Schizosaccharomyces pombe: one gene and its partner. The gene in region 2 interacts genetically with the main gene of each other region. Each region holds a gene or a part of one and is shown on either strand. Other genes may lie near its edges.

Evidence for each region. Genes that interact genetically often act in the same process or in processes that back each other up.
Region 1: of cut20 (region 2) and cut2, extra expression of one is lethal in a mutant of the other (dosage lethality), as found in Schizosaccharomyces pombe (2 studies listed by BioGRID, with this or other methods).

The regions. Positions count from the first base shown.
Region 1 is NC_003423.3:2,202,462-2,205,954, reverse strand, and holds cut2 (securin cut2), read left to right. Parts: upstream 1-1,738; 5' UTR 1,739-1,748; coding exon 1,749-2,639; 3' UTR 2,640-2,955; downstream 2,956-3,493. Other genes in the region: TIM23 translocase complex subunit Tim44, read right to left, coding at 1-401; eno101 (enolase), read right to left, coding at 3,399-3,493. UniProt on the Schizosaccharomyces pombe protein: Regulatory protein, which plays a central role in chromosome stability. Probably acts by blocking the action of key proteins.
Region 2 is NC_003424.3:4,041,252-4,046,601, reverse strand, and holds cut20 (anaphase-promoting complex platform subcomplex scaffold WD repeat subunit Apc4/Cut20), read left to right. Parts: upstream 1-1,977; 5' UTR 1,978-2,182; coding exon 2,183-2,420; exon of another isoform or gene 2,421-2,468; coding exon 2,469-2,688; exon of another isoform or gene 2,689-2,730; coding exon 2,731-2,853; exon of another isoform or gene 2,854-2,873; intron 2,874-2,944; coding exon 2,945-3,002; intron 3,003-3,028; exon of another isoform or gene 3,029-3,047; coding exon 3,048-4,568; 3' UTR 4,569-4,793; downstream 4,794-5,350. Other genes in the region: MutL family mismatch-repair protein Pms1, read left to right, coding at 1-97, 169-1,425, 1,467-1,702; prp12 (U2 snRNP-associated protein), read left to right, coding at 4,838-5,350.

The sequences.
Region 1 (3,493 bases), on a different chromosome or scaffold from region 2:
GTAGCTACAGTATTAGCGGTGCTTGAAATGACCTTTTTTGATAATTGTACAGGAGCACTTTCCCAAGCTTTTTGGGCATATGAGCCAATCTTGGCACCAGCTTTGCCAACAGTTTTTCCTGTGAAAGATGAAGCTGCAGTAGTTCCCGAGCGCGCTTTTTCGTAAGCATCTCTCGCTTTTTTGAAAGTGTCGCTTTCACTTAATGATCCTGAACTATCTTGCAATGCTTTGACACTGTCCTGTAATTCCTGGCTCTTCTTTAATTCTGCTCTAAATGTATCCATGAACACCTTGATTGGCGATTGAGGTGCTGCATTTTGAGAGAATATAGACGTTTGGAAAAACCGCTGGCATTGAACTATTGTGCGGGCATTTTTTGTGATTTTTCTTGATAGAAACATTTTCTTTCCTATTGAATAAATAAATCTCAACGCTATTACGCGAAAATTAATCCACTTTGCTGCCTTTTATTGCAAACCGATATAGCAGCCTAGTGAGTGGTGGATGGAAGGTTCAAGTGCCACAAAGGTGGAAAGATACCTTAATCCTAAATATCGAGAAGTAGTCTTTTGTTAACAAAAGTTAGCATATTCTCTTATATTTGGACTTTTTTACTTTACTAAGAGGAGTTTACGATTAGAATTTTTACGAATTCGCTCATTTTATCTGAAATGCAACTATTAAAATATTGATATAGAGGGAAGCATAAATTACGCATGATCCTAATATATTAAAGAATAAGAGTACCGATCAATTTCCTTTCGTATTGGTTGAAACAGTCGTAGCTGTTGCTTACAATATTGTTGGGAATCGATACCATGTGGGTGGTAAGAGATCGTATGAAGTTATGAAAAAAAGTATTCAATAAGCAGCATAGATATATTACAATGCGTTATATAGAACTGGATAATTTGAGTATGTAGCGGGTTTTGGAGATAAAAGCAATAGTATTAATTAGCATTTTGAAGTTTCGTTTATTCATTTGTAGAGATTTTTCAAATCTAGAAAAATTTAAAGATCTCTTAATTTTGTATCTTTTTTTTTTTTTTTATCAGTTTGATAGAATGTTTGTATGTAATTCTTTCTAATAACATGCGACGTTTGTTGTGCCCCTAAGTTTCTTTGATGAAATTTATTTGAAAATAAGGAAGTAGCTGGTTTATACAGAATTCAAAAGGCGCATTTAAGTTGTAGTAAACCTCGAATTTTTCTGATGATTAATGTGTTTCATGATTTTTTATGAAAACAGTTGTTGAAGCTCCTATATTATTTATCACAGGTTGTAAATTTTCAGCTTCAATAACGAAATGGGATACTTAAAGTCATAACTGATCAATTTTGGCAGACAGATCTAGCTTTAAAAGCTTAGATTCATTCAACATCAAGTTTATACGAAATGATCAGTTGTAATACACTTCCAACTTTTCTGATAATGATTCAGAATGATTACAACATAGTATAGTTGGAATGTAAAATTATTTGTTTCATGAAGAACTGGTTTTCCATCTTGAACACTAGACGATAAAAGCAACCTGAATATCATAAATCATCTTCAATCCAATTAAGCAATTCAAAAACAAAACAAAACAATTTATTATGCATTTGTAAAAGTAAAAATTTAAAAGGTGATCATATTTCTTCAAATTATCGCTTTGTTTACTATTTTAAATTGTGCAGGTCACAATTGAATGTCACCTGTGAAATAATAAACCAGCCTTGGACTATAGACAACGATGTTGCCAAGAACCATGTTTTCATATGGAAAAGAAAACGCTTTTCCTGTAACTCCCATATCAAACAGAAATGGTACAAAAGGAGCGGGCTCCAAAAGAGCACCATTGGGGTCTACAAAGCAGTCGAATGCACCTTCTTCTGTAACGGTTCCTAGAACGGTACTGGGAGGTAAGAGTACTAACATTTCCAAATTTATTTCTGCTCCCAGTACAAAGAAAATGTCTCCTATGGATATTTCGATGGATTCCCCTACTATTTTGGAGCCAAACTCACAAGGAATTTCCCGATCAGCCGTACAAGAGCGGTCGAAGCGACTTTCGGCTAGCCCTCGTCGTTCCTCTTTAACAGACACTCCTTTACCAAATGAACTTGAAGAAGATATCGAATATATGCCTCCTCCTGTTCATTTGGACCCCATTCAATCCCTGGGGTTTGACGACGTTGCAATTGATTGTGAAACGCTCGATCCTTGGCCTAGCATGCAGAATAAGGCTACCTCAGTAACTATTCGTAATACACCTGCATCAGATTTCCATGTTTACAAGGAGTTCAGTGATGATGATCCTATACAATTTCCTCTGCTCAGCGTAGACGGTGACTCCCCGTTAACAGAAAAGGATACTAACCTGACAACACCCGCTACCTTGAAAGCTTCTGATCAACAAAGAAAGGTTCTCGAAAAGCCTTCTGTCAGCAAACAATCCTCTTCCAGAACACGACTCAGTACCGTTTATCGCACCAAGCTGGCATCTGGTAAATCCATCCCTCGACCCTTATCTCATAAACTCACACGACCCCGAGTAACTGCATCTGGCAATAGCCGTCGGCGCCCTTTATCTCGTTCTATTCATTCGTTATCATCTTCACGAATTGATTTTTCATCTTTGGATACAGGATTGTTATAAAAAGATTCCGAATTTTCAGGTTTTGTGCGTACTGGCTTCCGCTTCTACGATTGTAAGTATGATTCTTCCGATGGCTTTGATTTCCCTTGTTGTTTAATTTGTTTCACCACTTTAATGCTGTTCTTTTTTTTTTTTTTTTTACTTAAATGCATAAAGCCTATACGGTCCTTAATTTATGACATGTTTTTCGTTCATGACTTTTCTGTACAAATGATTTCCTTTTCTATATGCTTTTTTTTTTTTGGCTTTTCTGGTTCAATATTTTACTATTGTAATGTAGATGAATTATGTTAATAATATTGTTATTTTCATTCTACGTTGATGAATATTATAAATACTAGTAGGTAAGATGCTGAGGAATAGAACATTTTCCAGTGTTAGTAGTAGTAAAGTGACTGATAAAGAGCAAAGGTATCCAAAAATTTTGGCTACACATAAAAATATGTACTAGGTCAAAGACAAATTTCTGTGTTTTACAGCAGATGCACACATTCCAAAAAAAATTAAGATGATTGAAAAAAAAACACTATATAAACGAAAACTAAAATGATCATCTAAAAAAAAAAAGGATGCAAATTAGCACAAAACAATTATATCAGCTACTTCTACTACAACAACAGTTTACTTTAATACTAATAATAAATAAACACGCAACCTGGCAAATTAATCCAAAACGCAAAAAGGATAAAAATTTCATTGCATTCTATAAAAATAAACATGTATTGTAAACATTAGTAAAATTTAATGTATGCTCAGAGTTTAAAACTTAGCAGCCTTGATGTACTTGCCAGCATGGGCACCAGCGTAAACACCCTCGGAACCGAGTTCCTCCTCGATACGGAGAAGCTCGTTGT
Region 2 (5,350 bases):
AATTTGCCAAAAATAGCAAGAGTTATTCAAGAGGTATTTAAGCCGTATAGTATGGCACAATCCCCGTTTTTTGCCATCAATCTTCGCATCACAAATGGTATGTTCACTTTAAAAACTATGTTTGAGAGAATCTATATACGTTCACTCATTACTAACCAATTATTTTAGGAACTATTGACATCAATGTATCTCCAGACAAAAAATCTGTATTTTTGTCTGAAGAGGATTCCATAATTGAATTTATTAAAAACTCCTTGCAAAACCTATGTGAAAGCTGCGGACATGCAATTTCTTGTTCCAGATCGCAATCCATTTTTTCATATTCCTCGCAAATTCCTGATTCCTCTGGAGACAGTACAGATCAGGAATTGCCTCAGTCAATTCCAGCAACAGAATCCGAAACAAGTGATGACTCAAGTTTTTCTTATAAACGCTCACCATGTAAAAGAAAGCTCGTAGAAGCTACTGCTCAACCAGCAATATCCACTAGTGTTGCAGAAGGAGCGTCATTAGCACAAGTATCCAAACCTTTGCCAGAGCGTTTGCAAAAGGATTCTATGAGACGAAGTAGCCCATTAAACGAAAAAGTTACGGCCTCTTCCGAAAGAATGAAGAAAAAGCTTGCCCTATTCGCTTCTAGTACTGATACTTCTATGCAGAAAACAATAGACTCTAGTTTCCCACTAAAGCAACCCATCAATAAACCTAGCTCGAATCCTAACAATTTGTTACTAAATGATCCAAGTCCAGCATCAACACCTGTTGCTAAAACAATTAATTTAAACGAGATTGAGTCGGTACACAACGCAGAATCAGTTTCCACACTCTCGAGCATTCCTCGTACTGAGCAAACCAGTGTTGCGAACAGAATTCCGTCAAAAACTGCAGCGCTACAAAAGCTCAAATTTTTTCAATCTAGGCCCTTGGATGGTTTAAACAAGTTTAGTAAAAAAATAAATATATCTTTGAGTGGAGTGCAAAAAGATATTGTTCGAAGCGATGCCTTACTGAAATTTTCGAACAAGATTGGCGTGGTGCATGATATTTCAGATGAAAATCAGGAAGATCATTTGAATCTAACTGTACATAAAGCCGATTTTTTAAGAATGAGGGTTGTTGGTCAATTCAATAGAGGATTCATAGTGGTTGTTCATGGAAACAATTTGTTTATAATTGATCAACATGCCAGCGATGAAAAGTTCAACTATGAACATCTCAAAAGTAATTTAGTTATCAACAGCCAAGACTTAGTCCTTCCAAAAAGACTGGATTTAGCTGCTACAGAGGAAACTGTTTTAATTGACCATATAGATTTAATTCGAAGAAAAGGATTCGGCGTTGCTATAGATTTAAATCAGCGAGTTGGTAATCGCTGCACTCTTCTTTCAGTTCCCACGAGTAAGAATGTCATTTTTGACACTAGTGGTAAGTTTATTAACGAAGATCTTGACCTTTAACTTCTGTAGATTTACTAGAGATCATCAGTGTGTTGTCTGAGCACCCACAGATAGACCCATTTAGTAGTAGGCTTGAGCGAATGCTTGCTTCAAAGGCTTGTAGAAGCAGTGTCATGATTGGTAGGGCTCTAACTATATCCGAAATGAATACAATAGTTAGGCATCTTGCTGAGTTGAGCAAGCCTTGGAATTGCCCTCATGGAAGGCCAACTATGAGGCATCTCCTTCGATTAAAAGATATATAATGCGTAAAAGAAAGACTTTTTTAACGATTCTAGAATTTCAGCTATTGAATTAATGAATAATATTGGTTTATTTACAATGTATTTAAAACATAGCAATCAGCAATTATTAAAAGTGAATCTCTTATTGCCAAACTCAATTGAAATTTTTATCATTAAAGAATTATTTTAAGCGAACTTGAACCATGAGGAAATGATTTTTCTTTAGATGTAAATAAACATCGTACTAACGAGGTATGCACAGTTGGATAATCGCTTTCTTAATGTTTTGTATCCCTACAACTTTCATCAACTTCAGTTTTGCAATATCAGTCTTACTTCCTAATAAACCATCTATGCTAGCAAATTTAAAAAGGTTGTATGATAATTGTTGAAACTATCCATTCACTAGATATTTTATATACCTGAACAGGCTTTTATTGACTTGCTGTACTACAATAAACAAACTTCTACGAATCACCAAAATCATCCAGTCTTATCCAAATGGTGTCAAAATCTTTCAAATACCCTAAAAAGCATAAATTTGAATGGATTAATGAAACTAATAGAGTTGAAAGGGTTGGAAGTGGCCTTAAACGAGTAATCTTATGCCCTTCTATGGAACTCATTGCGATATTAACGTGTTCAAATCATTTGATTTGCTGTAGAAGTAACAGTCAAAGAATTTGGGATGTCGATTTTCATGATCTCGAGGCTACTGAATTGTGTTGGAATCACGATGGTACGTGGCTCGACTGGAAAACTTTTTTTGTATCATTAACATAAATAGGGAATTTAATAGTTGTTGGATTTAAAAATGGAGAGCTTAAAATTATTGATTCCTCCACAGGACATCTGGTTGAGCAAAGGCCAGCTTCCAGAGATTTAGCGGTTCTAATGATAACATGGGCCATGCAAGAAACGATAGTAAATGAAAAACGCAATGATTTTTTATTTGATGCCACTGCATATATGCCTTTACTTGGTACACTTCCTAGTTCGGCAAAAGAGTAAGTAGTAACACAAAGCGACTTGTCTCTTACATTTTTTAGGGAACGTATATTTTCTTCAAAAGCAATCGCACAATTTTTTGAGCCGAGGAAACGAGAGGGTGAAAATAACAAAAAAGTTGAGCTCTTAAGTATTTTGGATGAACGTGGAATTAGATACATAAAGTGCGTATCAAAAACCCCTTATTTATTAGCATCTTTCTAAAAGAAGTTTTTTTATCGATCGATACAAATTAGAAGTACTAACTATTCATAGTATGTTTTCGTCTTACAAAATCGGAGAAAGCGATTCTTTGAAATCAGCCTTGAACTTGGTATTATACCCATGTTATTAAATGTCTTGCTCACACAAATTATAGGGGGTTCCCATTTCACACAGCATAACCAACGACTTAGCATATCATGTTCTTATTTGTAAAGGAGGAACGAATATTTCTTTGAAAACACTTTATATGCCATTACTTAAAAATGATTTGGGAAGTATTGTGGATATTGCAACAATGTCTACACGTATGCAACATTTGGTAAGATATCTTGAGGAGGTATTGAATGCTATGTATGAAGAATTTGACAATGTCTTCAAATCAGAAGCTAGCTTTATTAAAACCTTTGATGCTTTAGTGTCCAAGTACAGTGACACAACTTTCTTTTCTTTACAACTAGAGTTATATCAATTTATAATGAACGGTATACCCAGCGACTTACTCAAAGAATGGATCAACGAAAGAGTCGGTGATCGAGTACTAAAAAATTGGGAACGGGCGATGGTGAATTCGTACACGTCCTTAATCATTTTCTGTCAGGAATTCGTAATACCTGCTTGTGAAAGGTTAACTGTATTATTATCTTCTGCCAGAGGAAAGTCAATATGGGGCCATATGAAGGGAAACACATTACTAGATGCTAAATTGGTGGAAGATTGTCTAGCAACTTTGGGTTATTTACAGAATAATGTTTTTTCGTTTCTCAATTGCCTTTTTGAGGAAAAAAAGTATATGAAGCACTTTATTTCATGGTTGAATTACGCTATCGTCGAGTTTAATACTTCTGAACCATCTTCTATTCCACCGCAAGAGATTATTGAACATATTAATGAAACCGTAATTTATATTCGTCATTCTTTATTCCGCTCGAAACTAACAAGTTACTTTATGGGCACAAAACCCCTTCAGCTAAGAGATCCTGATTATTATTCTCTCAAGGATTTTGCAAATCAAGACGACAGTAATTCTGTTGATGATTTCGTATCATTCAAAACCTTGAAAGAATCTTTAAGAGACTCATTCAACGTCATTTTTAGCTACCCTTCTTTAACTTGTCAAAAGCAATGGTTAAAAACCGGAGACCTTGTTTTGTTTGAAGGGACTGATTGGAATGTATCATCTCTTATACCAAAATCCTGTAATGAAAAAAACCAATTATTTTCATTATTCTTTCGAAAGGATACTCCGAATATATTCTTAATAATTTCCCAACTTATGGAAAATACTATGTTGCCTGTATCTGGATGCCACTTTGGCTTGGATTATGCAGAATTACTAGGAAGCAGTCTGTTGGATTTCCAGCCCGCAACTGTTTTAGACATGAAGCTTTTAAACGGAAGTAGTATTTTAATACTTGGAAAACTAAAGGAGAAGTGCTTCTTATGTGAAATTTGCTTAGCAGACGTTCCCTTAACCTTTTTTGAGCACCAGCAAAAAAACAGTTACCTTGATGCTATCAGTCATCTTCCTTTCATTCCACTAAACAGTTGCCTATGGCTGCATGAATTTGAGAAGGATTTCCTTCCTTCAACACTCGAATATGCCCTTTCTGAGAATAGCGATTACGGAGTCCTTATTTCAAGGGAATCTTCGAGATATCGTTTATTCTCTTTTTAATGAGCTTATGTTTAATGGTCGTAATGTTTTTTTTTTCTTGTTTTTGAAGAGCAAGTTACATTTTTTGTAGCGGTCTTTTAAATTTTCTTTTCTTTTTTTTAATTCTTTAATATAATTTAAAAGCAGAAAATTTATACAATATTTTCAATTGCAATAACTTCATTTAGAAAAGTCAACATATAACGAAGTTTTTTACCTTCTGCTATAAGTTTCCTTGATACACTGACTTCTTCTCTCAGCGAGGATCGTGTTTCAGCTAAAGTATAGAGATGGACACCTTCCCTTCTCTGTTTCTATATTCCTTAACAATACAGAATAGTAATTATGTTCAAAGTTCGTGTGCCGCGTCCTTGTCTGGTAAAAAGGCACAGGAGATAGTAATTGCTACAGAATCAAGGTTGCTTATATATAAAGTTGATGCAACTGATGGGAGAATGAATTGTATTTTAAATCAAAATTGTTTTGGTATTATTCGAAATGTTGCTCCTTTGAGATTAACTGGTTTTAAACGCGATTATCTCGTAGTCACGTCGGATTCAGGACGAATAACCATTTTGGAATATAACGTTGAAAAAAATAAATTAGTGCCAATATACCAGGAAACTTTTGGAAAATCAGGAATTCGAAGAGTTGTTCCTGGTGAATACTTAGCCATAGATGCGAAGGGGAGGGCCGCTATGATTGCATCTGTGGAGAAAAATAAGCTGGTTTACGTACTAAATCGAGATTCAGAGGCTAACCTAACAATATCTTCACCACTTGAAGCTCATAAAGCTAATAAT